Saccharomyces cerevisiae S288C: one gene and its partners. Each later gene encodes a partner of the first gene's protein in a complex. Each region holds a gene or a part of one and is shown in the gene's direction. Other genes may lie near its edges.

Region 1 (4,803 bases):
CGAACTGGGCAACCATGGTGGCTCTTCAGCCGGCGAAACATCAGCAGGATTGTTGTTTTTGTCACCTAAGCTGGCGCAATTTGCTAGGCCAGAATCGCAAGTAAACTACACATTGCCCATCAACGCTAGTCCGGACTGGAATTTCCAGTATTTAGAGACTGTTCAACAAATTGATATCGTCCCCACCATAGCAGCACTGTTTGGTATGCCAATCCCCATGAACAGTGTTGGGATAATAATACCTGACTTTTTACAACTGTTGCCCAATAAGTTGGCAAGTATGAAAGAAAATTTTATGCATTTGTGGAAATTATCAGACCATCACGGCGAGGTTGCTCTTGACGATTTCACTGCCGAAGATATTTATACAAAGATGTACACTATTCAAGAAACGTTAACCAAGTCTGCAACAAATTATAATTATCCTCTTTTGACACTGGCTTTTGTTGGTTTCCTCATAATAACAATCATCGCCATTTATGTATTATTACGTTATTCTGGGCCTGATTTTTGGCAGTTGCGCGTTTCTTCCCTGTCTGTTCTGTTAGTTTCCATTATACTAGGCGTTTCCACATTTGCAAGTAGTTTCATTGAAGAGGAGCACCAACTGTGGTGGTGGATAGTAACTGCATTCTCGGCGGTCCCTCTGTTCGTATACCGATTGAATGTGCTCATAATCGTGCGCTGGTTTATAATGATGGCATGCGTACGCTCAATCAAGTTTTGGAATAACAGTGGCCAGAAATTCATTTATTCTAACGTTATGTCCAATCTACTTAATCAGAATCCTTCCTGGAAGTGGTGCTTAAATATGTTGACATTTCTAGTGCTGATAATGGCATCTGCTGGTTTTCAAGTACTACATTTTATTGTCACTACTATTTTGGTGGGGTTGTGTTTCACGTACAAAATCTCGTGGGAAATCGTCAATGGTAACCAGGCAGAAATACCGCTCTTTATGCATGATTTACTGGCTAAGATAGACTTTGCACCAACTGAAAGTAACTTGATTGTACTTGCGCGCGTTTTCTTCCAAGCTTGGGCTATTGTTGTCATTTCAAGGTTGGTCCTGACGAAATTGAAAGTACTTAACAAGAACTACCTCATTAAAGATATGAAAGTTTATATAACAATTCTTTTGATGTTCCAAACTTCTTCTCAGAACATAGGTCAATTTCTCGTTTTCCAAATATTAGAGTCCCAAATTTTTTACTTTTTCCAAAATATTCCAACCGCCTCATTAACATCAACAAGTAAGATTTATTTTTCGAATTTGGTGTCCTTAATTTTACAAAATTTTACATTTTTCCAATTCGGTGGCACAAATTCCATTTCTACTATAGACCTTGGAAACGCATACCATGGTGTTTCCTCAGACTACAACATCTACGTAGTGGGGATATTAATGTCCGTTGCCAATTTCGCGCCGGCAATATACTGGTCCATGCTACCGTGGTCAATAAACTACGCCTCTATTCCAGCACAAGTTAAGTTGCAAACGTTCATCAGAAGTAAGTTACCTGCCTTCACCTATCATTGTATATTTGGAACTTGTTTGATGACGGCATGCGTCGTTTTGAGATTTCATCTCTTTATTTGGTCCGTTTTCAGTCCAAAATTATGTTATTTTCTTGGGTGGAATTTTGTGATGGGATTGCTGAATGGCTGGTTACCTGAATTGGCCCTCCTTTGCGCTCTTGATTAACATAGAATTGTTCACGTGGTCTAAATATGTATACATATATGATAGTTTATAGATTCATACTGAGACAAGTGAAAAAAAAAAAATCTACTATCGACCTTCTCTCTTTTCGCGGCAGCAAAAATGAAAAATTAACTTCAATAAAAAAGTTGAATACTTTCAAATATTCTAATTGCATTTAATATTTAAGCAACAAAAGGACAGCGATAATTGAGTGGTGGCTTAATTCTATACTCCAAAGTATGTCCCAATCTAGTAGGTTAAGTGCACTTCCTATTTTCCAAGCATCGCTTTCGGCAAGCCAATCTCCACGTTACATTTTTAGTTCTCAGAATGGCACAAGGATTGTTTTCATTCAAGATAACATAATAAGGTGGTACAATGTACTCACTGATTCACTTTACCACAGTTTGAACTTTAGTCGTCATCTCGTCTTGGATGATACCTTCCATGTAATATCTAGTACGTCTGGTGACCTACTCTGTCTTTTCAATGACAACGAGATTTTTGTAATGGAAGTTCCTTGGGGCTATTCCAACGTTGAAGACGTTTCCATTCAAGATGCATTCCAAATTTTCCACTATTCAATTGATGAAGAAGAAGTTGGTCCGAAATCGTCCATTAAGAAAGTTTTGTTTCATCCAAAGAGTTATCGTGATTCTTGTATAGTGGTTTTGAAAGAGGATGACACTATCACGATGTTTGACATCCTTAATTCGCAAGAAAAGCCTATCGTTTTGAACAAACCGAACAACTCCTTTGGTTTAGATGCACGTGTTAACGACATCACAGATTTAGAATTCAGTAAGGACGGATTGACGTTATATTGTCTAAACACCACAGAAGGCGGTGATATCTTTGCATTTTATCCATTTTTACCGTCAGTATTACTGTTAAATGAGAAAGATCTCAACTTGATCCTAAACAAATCTTTAGTAATGTACGAGTCCCTGGATTCTACAACAGATGTTATAGTTAAAAGGAATGTTATTAAGCAGTTACAGTTTGTGTCAAAACTGCATGAAAATTGGAATTCAAGATTTGGCAAAGTCGACATACAAAAGGAATATCGTTTAGCCAAGGTTCAAGGACCATTCACGATAAACCCCTTTCCCGGCGAGCTGTATGACTATACTGCTACAAATATTGCAACCATACTAATTGATAATGGGCAAAATGAAATTGTTTGTGTCAGTTTTGATGATGGGTCTTTAATCTTACTCTTCAAAGATTTGGAAATGTCAATGTCGTGGGATGTTGACAATTACGTGTATAATAATTCTTTGGTTCTAATTGAACGAGTCAAACTACAAAGAGAAATTAAGTCTCTAATAACGTTACCTGAACAGTTGGGAAAACTTTATGTCATTTCCGATAATATTATACAACAAGTAAATTTTATGAGCTGGGCTTCTACATTGAGTAAATGTATCAACGAATCGGATTTGAATCCACTTGCAGGATTGAAATTTGAAAGTAAACTTGAGGATATTGCCACCATAGAAAGAATTCCAAACCTAGCGTATATCAACTGGAATGACCAATCTAATTTAGCCTTGATGTCGAATAAAACATTGACTTTTCAAAATATTTCAAGCGATATGAAACCGCAAAGCACCGCAGCTGAAACAAGTATCAGTACAGAAAAAAGTGACACGGTAGGAGATGGTTTTAAAATGAGTTTCACACAGCCCATAAATGAGATTCTTATTTTGAACGATAATTTTCAAAAAGCCTGTATTAGTCCATGTGAACGAATTATCCCATCAGCAGACCGCCAGATACCTTTAAAAAACGAAGCTAGTGAAAATCAGTTGGAAATTTTCACGGATATTTCCAAAGAATTTTTGCAAAGAATTGTTAAAGCTCAAACTTTGGGTGTTTCTATCCACAATAGAATTCATGAGCAACAGTTCGAATTGACGCGCCAACTACAATCGACATGCAAAATAATTTCAAAGGATGATGATTTAAGGAGAAAATTCGAAGCACAAAATAAGAAATGGGATGCACAACTAAGCAGACAGTCAGAATTAATGGAGAGATTTAGTAAATTGAGCAAGAAGCTATCTCAAATCGCCGAATCCAATAAATTTAAAGAAAAGAAAATAAGCCATGGTGAGATGAAATGGTTCAAAGAGATACGAAACCAAATATTGCAATTCAACAGCTTTGTTCACTCTCAAAAATCCCTTCAACAAGATTTATCGTACTTGAAGAGTGAACTAACTCGTATCGAGGCAGAAACTATCAAAGTCGATAAAAAGAGCCAAAACGAATGGGATGAGCTACGCAAAATGCTTGAAATAGATTCAAAGATAATTAAAGAATGCAATGAAGAATTGTTACAAGTTTCTCAGGAATTTACTACTAAAACTCAATGAGTAAGCGACTTGCATAGTCTGCTATCATATATGTACGCTAAGAAACAACTGGGCAATGGTATAATATCATGTAGCAAGAGGACATTATATATGAATTGGTCAATATATAAAGCCTTCTGTGCACCAAATCGTTAGGATGATTTTTCAGTATGCTGTATCATTGTATCGTATATTCATTCGTATCTCTTTTACCTCACTAACCGCTGCCAAAATTTACATGTATACAAAATAAAAGTCTTTTTTATGACCTTATTTGGTGAGTAATGCTACTTTTGTAAAGAGTGATGGAAACTATTATTCCAAAGGGTTAGAAGAAGGTGAGGAATACGTTCATATCACCGCTACAGATCGTGTCTCTCGGTTATGAGTAATCAAACCCTCTGCAAGCAACACAGTTACTTTTTTTCGGTTTTTTCTTTTCGTGTGAATTTTTATCCAGTGAGTTTCCTTGTTCACTTTCGAGAATGGAAGGCTGATTTCGAATTTTTATATTCAACAACTGTATTTGTATTAGGCTTTGCAATAGTAGATGAAAAGTGCAGAAGACGAATCTGCTACCCTCACAATACAAAGAAAAACAAAATCGTCATTTTAATATAGGAAGACACCGCTCAGGTAATTCAATATTGAATCTGGTTGCACTTTTCTTACGATGTAAATACCCACAAACTTCTTGTACGGTGAGCGTCTGACAACGAAATCAATTTACGGAGCAAG
Region 2 (5,535 bases), on another chromosome or scaffold:
ACGACCTGGATTTGGCTAGCACACCTTACAAGACACTAAGATATCATGAAAAAGCCGTCAGAAGTGTGAATTTCCACAAAAAGTTACCTCTATTCAGCTCTGCCGCTGATGACGGTACCATACATGTTTTCCATGCCACTGTTTATGATGACATGATGAAAAATCCGATGATTGTGCCACTAAAGAAACTAACCGGTCATAAAGTAATCAATAGTCTGGGTGTTCTTGATGCTATTTGGCATCCGAGGGAAGCTTGGCTGTTTTCTGCCGGTGCTGATAATACGGCTCGCTTATGGACCACCTAGATAAATAATTTGAAGTAGATATTGTATAATAACGCCCAAGAAGAAAAAATCAAACACTCGAACCAGGCTCTTTCTACAAGCTTTATTTACACAATATATATAAACCTATATGTATAGATGCCCACACGCACGTTTGGATTATTACCTTCAATGACATTGCTAAAAGCCCATTTCCTTCATAGCATCCAACTCATCTTGATCTACGCCAAACTCATCTCCCCCTGGCAATAAATCATAATGAGTATGTTGTCCCTCTATATCATTCATTTCCCACTCTTCCAAACTTTGAATCAGTTGAACGTCTTCTTCAGTCATAGAGCCTTTTTCCATTTTTCTATGCGCATCTAGCCATCCTAATAAGAGCTTCTTCTCATTTTCTTCAAGGCCAACGGGCCCTTGTACCCTGAATGTCTTCAATAATGCATCCAAATCTTCCTTAGGCGGCACAACGTTGTTAAGTACCGTTTCATTATTCCCACGTTCGTCCAAAACTCGTCCTCTTCTGTTGCGATAAGAAAGGTGATAGATATCGTCATCTTCGTCATTATCGTAATCGACATTGTTTACATTCCTTTTGTCTTGCGCAAAACTATCTGCGACAATAGGCCTCTCTTCCGCGGAAGTGACATGTTCTTCAACCATAGGTGATTGTCTTTCCAGGTCTTGCCCAGTCTCCCGTGTGCCAACATCGAAACTCATGCCCATCTCGTCCCTAAAAAGGCTGACTCTATATTCTCTAAGAACTGGATCTGTTTTACCTACTGTTTGACAGATCTTCATAAAATCCTTAAATTTTGCCTTGGGAAACAATTCATGTGCCCAAAGCTGGTAAAACTGAATAATATTTGATAAGTTGTCATATGAGTTTTTTTTTGAGGAAATTCGTATCCTTTTATGTGCATTTTTCAAAACATATGGTAAACCTTTATCACTGAGTAGTTTTTCGGCTGTTAATTTTACTTGAGGCCTTCTCTTTCTAGCTGTAATTGCGGTTGGATCCGCAATGGTAGGATCAACTACTGAACCATCCAAGCCATTTGGTACAGTTGGGTCTTTTTGGACACTATCGGAGTCATTGAAACCTAGTAATAAACTGTCAAAATCTTGATCCATGACCTCAATAAAAGTTTCTGTTCACGTTTTCATGGCATTTTAATCCAGTATATCATTGATCTTGTTACGCGTCAGTTTATTATTGTCACTTTTGCAGATTATCATTACCCGGCATTTTTCCTTACCATGCTCATTAGAAAAAGAACAAAACTAAATTATACTTAGAGTTAATAAAGTGTCATAAGGTCGCAAAGGAAACTATCAGCATTGCATAGAGATCCCGGCAACTGAGAGGCACCATTCAGCTTCGAAGATTTCTTTTTTAAAACATTATTATGTTTGGAGTTAGCCGTGGCGCATTCCCCAGCGCAACAACACAGCCATTTGGCTCAACAGGATCAACCTTTGGTGGCCAACAGCAACAACAACAACCAGTAGCAAACACTTCTGCTTTCGGCCTCAGTCAGCAAACAAATACAACACAAGCACCTGCGTTTGGTAACTTTGGTAACCAAACTTCTAATTCTCCCTTCGGAATGTCAGGCTCGACTACAGCAAATGGTACTCCTTTTGGTCAAAGTCAATTGACGAACAACAATGCCTCTGGCTCGATCTTCGGTGGAATGGGTAATAACACAGCACTTTCTGCTGGTTCCGCTTCTGTTGTGCCCAATTCTACTGCAGGTACAAGCATTAAACCTTTTACTACATTCGAAGAGAAGGATCCAACCACAGGTGTCATCAACGTCTTCCAAAGTATCACCTGTATGCCTGAATACAGAAATTTTTCTTTTGAAGAATTGAGATTTCAAGATTACCAAGCTGGTAGAAAATTCGGTACCAGTCAAAATGGCACTGGTACTACTTTTAACAATCCTCAAGGAACTACCAATACTGGATTTGGAATTATGGGTAATAATAACTCCACTACTTCTGCTACAACAGGAGGATTATTTGGTCAAAAGCCAGCAACAGGCATGTTTGGAACCGGAACTGGAAGTGGTGGTGGCTTTGGCTCTGGAGCGACCAACTCTACAGGATTGTTTGGAAGCTCTACTAACCTCTCAGGAAATTCTGCATTTGGAGCAAATAAACCTGCCACTTCCGGGGGATTGTTTGGTAATACAACTAACAACCCAACAAACGGCACTAATAATACAGGCCTTTTCGGCCAGCAGAACTCAAATACAAACGGAGGATTATTTGGTCAACAGCAAAATTCATTTGGGGCGAATAATGTCAGTAACGGGGGAGCCTTTGGTCAGGTGAATCGTGGTGCCTTTCCCCAACAACAAACACAACAAGGTAGTGGTGGTATATTTGGTCAATCAAACGCTAACGCAAATGGTGGCGCTTTCGGCCAACAGCAAGGCACTGGTGCTCTTTTTGGAGCTAAACCTGCTTCTGGTGGACTATTTGGACAATCTGCTGGTTCAAAAGCATTCGGAATGAATACCAACCCCACTGGTACCACTGGTGGCTTATTTGGGCAAACCAATCAGCAGCAAAGTGGAGGAGGGTTATTTGGCCAGCAACAAAATTCCAACGCTGGAGGATTGTTCGGTCAGAATAACCAAAGCCAGAACCAATCCGGATTATTTGGACAACAAAACTCCTCAAACGCATTTGGCCAGCCACAGCAACAAGGCGGATTATTTGGAAGCAAACCTGCAGGAGGACTGTTTGGACAACAGCAGGGAGCATCCACTTTTGCGTCTGGTAATGCCCAAAATAATTCTATATTTGGGCAAAATAACCAACAACAGCAATCAACCGGGGGATTATTCGGACAACAAAACAACCAGTCGCAGTCCCAACCTGGTGGATTGTTTGGCCAGACCAATCAAAATAATAATCAGCCATTTGGCCAAAATGGGTTACAACAACCACAACAGAATAATAGTCTTTTTGGAGCGAAACCAACTGGTTTTGGAAATACAAGCTTATTCTCTAACAGCACAACAAATCAAAGTAACGGTATAAGTGGAAATAATTTGCAGCAGCAATCAGGAGGTTTGTTCCAAAATAAACAGCAACCTGCTTCGGGTGGCCTGTTTGGTTCAAAACCATCAAACACTGTTGGAGGCGGATTATTTGGAAACAATCAAGTTGCAAATCAAAACAATCCTGCCTCAACTAGCGGCGGATTATTTGGTAGCAAACCTGCTACAGGATCCCTTTTCGGAGGTACTAATTCCACGGCTCCAAACGCCTCTTCGGGTGGAATATTTGGGTCCAATAATGCATCTAACACGGCGGCCACCACCAATTCTACTGGTTTATTTGGTAATAAACCAGTTGGTGCGGGAGCTTCTACAAGTGCTGGAGGACTATTTGGAAACAATAACAACTCGTCTCTAAACAATTCCAACGGTTCAACGGGCCTGTTTGGTAGTAATAACACCTCTCAATCTACTAATGCTGGAGGCTTATTTCAGAATAACACTAGTACGAACACTTCGGGCGGAGGGTTATTTTCCCAACCTTCCCAGTCAATGGCACAATCACAAAATGCGCTCCAACAACAGCAGCAGCAACAACGATTACAAATTCAGAATAACAATCCCTACGGTACTAATGAGCTTTTTTCGAAAGCAACTGTCACCAACACGGTTTCCTATCCAATTCAACCAAGCGCTACAAAGATCAAAGCCGATGAACGCAAAAAAGCCAGTTTGACGAACGCATACAAAATGATTCCTAAAACTTTATTTACAGCCAAGCTCAAGACTAATAATTCCGTCATGGATAAGGCCCAGATCAAGGTTGATCCAAAGTTGTCGATTTCCATTGATAAAAAGAATAATCAGATTGCGATTTCTAACCAGCAGGAGGAAAATTTGGACGAAAGCATATTAAAAGCTTCTGAGTTATTATTCAATCCCGATAAAAGGTCATTCAAGAATCTAATTAATAACAGGAAAATGTTGATCGCATCCGAGGAAAAGAATAACGGATCACAGAACAACGATATGAATTTTAAAAGTAAAAGTGAAGAACAAGAAACGATCTTGGGAAAGCCAAAGATGGATGAAAAAGAAACTGCTAATGGGGGGGAAAGAATGGTTTTGTCCTCAAAGAACGATGGGGAAGATAGCGCAACGAAACATCATTCCCGGAATATGGACGAAGAAAATAAAGAAAATGTCGCCGATTTACAGAAGCAAGAATATTCAGAAGATGATAAAAAGGCTGTTTTTGCGGACGTTGCGGAAAAAGATGCCTCCTTCATTAATGAGAACTACTATATCTCACCATCCCTGGACACATTATCCTCTTATTCTCTCTTGCAACTGCGCAAAGTTCCTCATTTAGTTGTGGGTCATAAAAGTTATGGTAAAATTGAATTTCTTGAACCTGTTGACCTCGCTGGAATTCCTTTGACCTCATTAGGGGGCGTAATCATTACTTTTGAACCAAAAACCTGTATAATATATGCGAACTTACCAAACAGACCGAAGAGAGGGGAGGGCATTAATGTTCGGGCCAGGATTACCTGCTTTAACTGTTATCCTGTAGACAAATCTACCAGAAAACCTATAAAGGATCCAAATCATCAACTGGTTAAAAGGCATATCGAACGCTTAAAGAAAAATCCAAATTCTAAGTTCGAAAGCTATGATGCAGACAGTGGTACATACGTGTTTATCGTAAACCACGCTGCAGAGCAGACCTGAGTTATTATATAACGAAACTATATATAGAATCAAATACAAATTTGTAATGCATTTAGTGTAATTAACCTGTTAAATTTTTGAGTATAAAATTATAGATGGAACAAGTGATAAAAAAGAGAAAAGGGACCCTTCATAGACCTGCTGCGATAATTACATCCTTTTGAAAAAGACAATAATTCATGTCGTTTGTTGCCTTCCCTTTTTCTTTTCTTTGAAAAAAAAAGAAAATGCCATCTCCTAGAATCGAACCAGGGTTTCATCGGCCACAACGATGTGTACTAACCACTATACTAAGATGGCAAACTTGGATTGTTAAGAAAAACATGCTGGGCTATACAGTACATTTACCGCATATGTACCTCTAGCCACCACCCGAACATGGAATTTATTCGTCCTGTAGTGTCAAGCGGTGCGAATGCCAAGGTCACAGCTTCATTGAAAATGATGTTGGAATAAAAATCCACTATCGTCTATCAACTAATAGTTATATTATCAATATA
Region 3 (6,419 bases), on another chromosome or scaffold:
ATTCTCTATTACCAACCAAGGAACAAATGAGAGTCTTTCAAAAACCTCCTCAAGGTTCTAGGCTTTGTATTGTTGCAACAAATGTTGCAGAAACATCGTTAACTATACCTGGAGTTAGATATGTTGTTGATTCCGGGAGGTCTAAAGAGCGTAAATATAATGAATCAAATGGCGTACAGAGTTTTGAAGTGGGCTGGGTAAGTAAAGCTAGTGCCAATCAAAGAAGCGGTAGAGCAGGTCGTACTGGACCAGGCCATTGTTACCGTTTATATTCGTCTGCTGTTTTTGAACATGATTTCGAACAGTTCTCTAAACCTGAAATCTTAAGAATGCCAGTGGAGAGCATCGTGTTACAAATGAAGAGCATGGCCATTCATAATATCATTAATTTTCCATTTCCAACTCCTCCAGATAGAGTTGCCCTTTCCAAGGCAATACAATTACTGCAATATTTAGGTGCTCTTGATAATAAGGAGATGATTACTGAAGATGGTAAAAAAATGAGCCTGTTCCCACTTTCACCCAGATTTTCCAAAATGTTACTTGTTTCTGACGAAAAAGCCTGCCTTCCTTATATTGTAGCAATTGTTAGTGCCCTTTCGGTGGGAGATCCTTTTATCAATGAATTTGAGTTGGGAATAAACGAAATTTCTAGAAAACCAAATCCAGATGAAAATCTAGATGATAAGATTAGAGAGCACGATGAATCAACACCAGGTATGGATCCTGAACTGAAAAAGGAATTGCGCAGTAAATTCTATAAAAGCAGGAGTCAGTTTAGTAAATTAGACAAATTTAGTGACGTATTCCGTTTATTAAGTGTTGTAAGTGCAATGGACTACGTTCCAAAGGAACAAAAAGAAATATTCATGAAGAAAAATTTTTTAAGAGGCAAACTAATGGAAGAAATAGTAAAATTGAGGAAGCAGTTAATGTATATCATCAAGTCCAACACTTCAAAAGAAAATATTGCCGTAGTAATTAGGAATGAAGACTTGAAAAGTGATATTCCAAGCGTCATACAAATAAAACTTTTAAAACAAATGATTTGCGCTGGTTTTGTCGACCATGTTGCCGTAAGAGCAGATGTTTTATTTCCAGATGATGCTAAGATAACCAACAGAACTTCCATAATCAACATTCCTTATATTCCTGTTTTGGCCACGAGAACACCAAATATCGAGGACTGCTTTGTCTATATCCATCCGACTTCAATTTTAAATAATTTGGGGGAAATGCCACCCAAATACATGCTCTATTATTCCTTGCACCTTGGTGGAAATAATAAAACAAGGATGAATACTTTATGTGACATCGCAAGCACCCCCTTAGCGAACATAGCAAGAAAGGGACTTCTTTTGACATACAGTAAACCTCTGACTGGTCAAGGCTTGAAGACCGTTAATTTATCACCTACGGAACGGTATTGTTATGTGGTTCCTAGATTTGGATCCACAGTTGACAACGATCTCAAGATTGGTTGGGATTTAAATCCTATAGCAGTGCATCAGAAGAAGCAAAAAGGCCAGTGGACAGTCATTAAGTTTATCACCAGAAAGGGCTTCCAGACCATCACAGGTGAAGAGAAAGAAAAAAAATAATGCGCTGGTATTATAGAAATAGAGTTTCATTATATAAGAACATATAGGAAGAATACATTATTCCTATCTAGGGCATCAAATAATTGCAACCACTTAATGTTAACTTCCTTCATAATTCAAAACATTATGTTCTATAGCACTATGTATTTTATGTCATTATATACGTAGTCAATAACTTTATACGTTTTTTTTATTGAACAAAAGTAAGAATTGCTTAAGACATAATAAGAGGAAACTCATCGAACCAATTCAAAACGGATTATAGATTTATCATACCAGATACGTTTATCAGGAGGCTTGTATAATGGAGCACAGATATAACGTGTTTAATGATACTCCACGAGGGAACCATTGGATGGGCAGTTCTGTGTCAGGATCACCACGTCCATCTTATAGCAGTCGTCCTAATGTAAACACAACACGACGCTTCCAATATAGTGACGATGAGCCCGCTGAGAAAATCCGACCTTTACGCTCGAGGAGCTTTAAAAGTACTGAAAGTAACATAAGCGATGAAAAATCAAGGATATCTGAACGTGACAGCAAAGACCGCTACATTAATGGTGATAAAAAGGTAGACATTTATTCACTGCCTCTAATATCAACCGATGTTTTAGAAATTTCCAAACAAAGGACATTTGCGGTGATATTGTTTTTAATAATTCAATGTTATAAAATATATGACCTGGTAATACTTAAATCGGGGTTACCGCTTTCGGGTTTACTGTTTAAGAACTATCGATTTAATTTCATATCCAAGTATTTCATTATAGATTCCTTCTTCCTGTATGTTTTACCATCCTTTAACATTCCTAGGTTGACTTTTAAGCCATGGGTTGTTTATCTCCAGATTTTAGCTATGCTACTATTGAACATTTTCATATCAAGCGATCACGAGTTCGTTTTGATTTCATTAATTATGACCACATGGAGAAAACTTTATACGAAAGAATTAAGTGTAACAGGTTCAGCCATTAACCATCATCGTATTTTTGATTCTTCCGCTCATTTTAAGGGTGCTCTAACAATCAAGATCCTACCTGAAAACACAGCTATGTTTAATCCTCTTCATGAATCATATTGTTTGCCCATGGATACCAATCTTTTTAAAATTAACTCAATTGACGTACCCATCAGAATAAACTCAACTGAAGAGATTGAATATATCGAGTTGGAATATAGAGATCTTTACACAAATTCGGTAGAGTTACGGTCTTTGAGTAAGAAAGACTTCAAAATCATCGATAACCCCAAATCCTTTTTAAAAAAAGATCAGTCAGTTCTAAAGTCACATTCAAACGATTTTGAAGAAGGCAGTACAATTCGTTATTTGGCTGTAACTCTTCAAGATATTGGCTTTTATCAAATCAAAAAAATTGTTGATTCAAAAAAACTGAATTTAAAGATCCATCAGTCACACTTGGTTGTACCCTACTGTCCAATTGCATCTATTACTGGAACTGGAAGCAATGATAGATGTATTGGCGATTCAGATAATGTTTCTTTTGAAATTCAAGGTGTGCCCCCAATGAAATTAGCATACTCTAAGATCGTTAATGGTCAAACTTTTTCATATGTAGACTCCAGCTTGCAACCAGAATATTTTGAGTCTCCTTTGCAGTCAAGCAAATCCAAACAAAGTTTTACTCAAGGAGAACTAAACGATTTGAAATGGGGAAGAAACCAACCTGTTAATATTAATTTAGACTCTTCCATTACCCAGGACGGCAAATTTGCATATAAAATTGATAAAATAACTGATGGTCTGGGAAATGTCGTGGATTTTACATCTCTCCCTGAAGAATTAAAAAAGCGCTATGATCTATCTTATAATTTCAATGTTCATGAGGTTCCACGTGCAGCGCTAGAAGAAAGATTTGATCCAAAGTCACCCACAAAAAGGTCTATTGCCATCGTGTTTGAAGAAATCAAAAACTGGATTTCAGACATTCCATATGTTATTAGCCTATCCTATACTGATGCACAAGACAAGTCGAAAAAGATAATGAATGTTACTACAGATTCTTTGACCAAAGTGTTGCAAGCGGATCTTCCGGGGTCATATAACTTAGAATATATTGAATCTAAGTTTTGTCCAGGTGAAATTGTGGGTAAATCAAACGTTCTTGTAACTATGCCAGTTGCACCTACTATGGAAGTTAAATCATTTCCAATATTGGACCAGTGTGTGGGACAGGTTGGTCTAAACTTTGAACTATCTTTTACTGGGGCTCCACCATACTATTATAACACTAAAATCTATAAGCTTGAAAACGGTGAAAGAAAGTTATATGATGCAAAGAGATACACCTCTGAAGGTACGAGAAATCGCTTCAGCTATAGTCCACCTAAAGAAGGTAACTATGAAATCGTGTTTGATACTGTTTCTAATAAATTATTCACTGAACCAATCAAATTGGAACCTGTAAAAGAATATACTTTCAAGACATCAATGAGGGTGAAACCAAGCGCATCACTAAAATTACACCATGATTTGAAACTCTGTTTGGGTGACCACAGCAGTGTCCCAGTAGCACTAAAAGGCCAAGGCCCTTTTACGTTAACATATGATATCATTGAAACTTTTTCTAGCAAGAGGAAAACTTTTGAAATTAAAGAAATAAAAACCAACGAATATGTCATTAAAACACCAGTCTTTACTACTGGTGGTGATTATATTCTATCTTTGGTTTCTATCAAGGATTCTACCGGCTGTGTAGTTGGACTCAGCCAACCAGATGCTAAAATACAGGTGAGGAGAGATATTCCATCTGCTGCATTCAATTTTTTTGAACCTATCAAAGAAGCTAAAATTAAGCACGGTTCTGTCACTGAAATTCCGCTCAAATTAAGTGGAGAGGGGCCATTCACCGTTAAGTTTAAACACATGGATTACGATGGAAACATTGTGAAAGAATTTGAAAACAAATTTCAGAATAGTTATAAGCCCGCTTTGAAAGTAAGTAAAGAAGGGCTTTACCAATTGGTCGATATTCGTGACTCAAGTTGCCAAGGTAATGTGATTTACCGGAACAGTCTGTATAAGGTATCTTTCTTGGAGAAGCCAAAATTTGCAATTCAAGACAATCATCACATTACAAAAGTAACGGAAAATTTATTCTCTAAAGAAGAAGTCTGTCAAGGGATGGAAGGTACGGTTGATTTGGCTCTATTTGGTTCTCCACCATTCATATTAGAATATGATTTGATGGCACCCAACGGTCATATTTCTACAAAAAAAATTCAGGTGGCAACCAAATACGCTTCACTGAAACTGCCTAATCAAATTCCTGGAGAGTACATAACTACTATTAAGGCCATCTTCGATGGCAATTATGGTGAAAGCGACATACATTTTAGAGAACATCAGTCGGAGCTCATAATCAAACAGACAGTGCACCCCATTCCAGACGTCGCCTTTGCTGATGGTGGTAAAACCTTGCGTGCATGTGCTGCTAATGTAGATCAAATCTCATTTTTGGAACCAATAAATTTGAAATTTTTACAAGGCGAAAGCCCATTTTCAATCACCTTTAGCGTTTATCACGAGAGTACCAGTAGGACAGATCAGTATACCATTGACAACATTGACTCAGAGAACTTTTCATTTGAAAAGTTATATGAAGGGATGAAGTTAGGTAACCATGCCATTACTATTGATTCTGTTGTTGACGCAAATGGTTGTGTTAACAGCCTCATATCTGGACCGCGTAATCAAATTCTTGTGTCAATTACTGATGCACCAAAGATACATATATTAGATCCTTCTACCGAGTATTGTGTTGGGGACTATGTTGCATATCAATTAAACGGTGTGGCACCTTTCATGATTAAGTATGAATTCAACGGTATTCCACTAAAATCTAAGGAACGCAGCTCCCAATTTGTTAGATTAGCATCTGAACCGGGCATTATATCTATCACTTCTTTACAGGATTCATCATCACAATGCATTGTCGACTTTACGAACCCTAAATTAAAGAGTGAATTTGATGACTTATCTTTAAACATACATCCTATTCCTTCCGTAACTGTTTCTCAAGGAAATTACGTTACTGAGGATATCCGCGAAGGTGACCAGGCTGAAGTAATCTTTTCGTTTGAAGGTACCCCACCATTCTCACTAACTTATGTAAGGACAGAAGAGACTGATGGAAAACACGGCAAAAGGAGGTCGCAGGTTGTTGAGACGCATAAAGTCACTGATATATATTCTCATGAATACAAGGTAATTACAAGCTTGCAAGGTACCTACGAGGCGATTGAAATTACAGATGCTTATTGTTTTGCCAAAAATGATCTTTTTTTCAATAACTAAATATTACAAGAAAGTCTGATGAAATTTTTCTTTCCCGCAATATTTTTGTACAATTGTAATGTATAATATATCTCTGTACATCAGTATTAAAATACTTAAGAAAGCGAAAAAGACGCCTGTATTGTTTGTTGTTCTTTTTCTTCAAAATTATCAAGACGCTCGATTCAATTATCTTCGCTCATAGTAACTCGAAAGAGTGTAGGTGAATGAATAGAAAAAGAGAGCGCTGAGACCTTTGTCCTTTACGGTCTATAGAGGTGTGTTAAAAGCAGACTTTTGAACATCCACAGAAATTGGCTCAATGACCTATCCGAAAAGAATACCTATAAATGCGTGGTCTGAAGTTCATAGGGTGGCAAGGCCACTAATTATTACTTTCGACGCATATAATACACTATACGCCACAAAACTTCCCGTCATGGAACAATACTGCATTGTTGGGCGTAAATATGGTATCAAGGCGAATCCTTCGACTTTAACAAACAATTTTCCACACGTTT

The links. Proteins that work in one complex are often made in the same cells at the same time.
Region 2: the proteins of NUP82 (region 1) and NUP116 are in contact, whole or in part, in a crystal structure (PDB 3PBP), measured with the Saccharomyces cerevisiae proteins. Residues at the interface, in NP_012474.1 of Saccharomyces cerevisiae: Asn171 (codon at 2,455), Ser172 (codon at 2,458), Phe173 (codon at 2,461), Gly174 (codon at 2,464), Leu175 (codon at 2,467), Asp176 (codon at 2,470), Thr199 (codon at 2,539), Thr200 (codon at 2,542), Glu201 (codon at 2,545), Gly202 (codon at 2,548), Gly203 (codon at 2,551), Asp204 (codon at 2,554), Pro284 (codon at 2,794), Phe285 (codon at 2,797), Thr286 (codon at 2,800), Ile287 (codon at 2,803), Asn288 (codon at 2,806), Pro289 (codon at 2,809), Phe290 (codon at 2,812), Tyr295 (codon at 2,827), Asp296 (codon at 2,830), Tyr297 (codon at 2,833), Thr298 (codon at 2,836), Val343 (codon at 2,971), Asn346 (codon at 2,980); in NP_013762.1 of Saccharomyces cerevisiae: Lys1029 (codon at 4,778), Thr1030 (codon at 4,781), Cys1031 (codon at 4,784), Ile1032 (codon at 4,787), Ile1033 (codon at 4,790), Pro1038 (codon at 4,805), Ile1053 (codon at 4,850), Cys1055 (codon at 4,856), Cys1058 (codon at 4,865), Val1061 (codon at 4,874), Asp1062 (codon at 4,877), Lys1063 (codon at 4,880), Ser1064 (codon at 4,883), Thr1065 (codon at 4,886), Arg1066 (codon at 4,889), His1074 (codon at 4,913), Gln1075 (codon at 4,916), Leu1076 (codon at 4,919), Arg1079 (codon at 4,928), His1080 (codon at 4,931), Arg1083 (codon at 4,940), Leu1084 (codon at 4,943), Asn1089 (codon at 4,958), Tyr1102 (codon at 4,997), Phe1104 (codon at 5,003), Val1106 (codon at 5,009), His1108 (codon at 5,015), Ala1109 (codon at 5,018), Glu1111 (codon at 5,024).
Region 3: NUP82 (region 1) and POM152 share a complex: the UniProt entries of both Saccharomyces cerevisiae proteins name them as parts of the nuclear pore complex.

Annotation. Positions count from the first base shown.
Region 1 is NC_001142.9:318,072-322,874, forward strand, and holds NUP82 (linker nucleoporin NUP82), read left to right. Parts: upstream 1-1,944; coding exon 1,945-4,086; downstream 4,087-4,803. Other genes in the region: mannose-ethanolamine phosphotransferase LAS21, read left to right, coding at 1-1,705. UniProt on the Saccharomyces cerevisiae protein: Functions as a component of the nuclear pore complex (NPC).
Region 2 is NC_001145.3:362,864-368,398, reverse strand, and holds NUP116 (FG-nucleoporin NUP116), read left to right. Parts: upstream 1-1,693; coding exon 1,694-5,035; downstream 5,036-5,535. Other genes in the region: ribosome biogenesis protein ERB1, read left to right, coding at 1-305; CSM3 (Csm3p), read right to left, coding at 465-1,418. UniProt on the Saccharomyces cerevisiae protein: Functions as a component of the nuclear pore complex (NPC).
Region 3 is NC_001145.3:525,899-532,317, forward strand, and holds POM152 (Pom152p), read left to right. Parts: upstream 1-1,905; coding exon 1,906-5,919; downstream 5,920-6,419. Other genes in the region: ATP-dependent RNA helicase ECM16, read left to right, coding at 1-1,601; DPI35 (Dpi35p), read left to right, coding at 6,221-6,419. UniProt on the Saccharomyces cerevisiae protein: Functions as a component of the nuclear pore complex (NPC).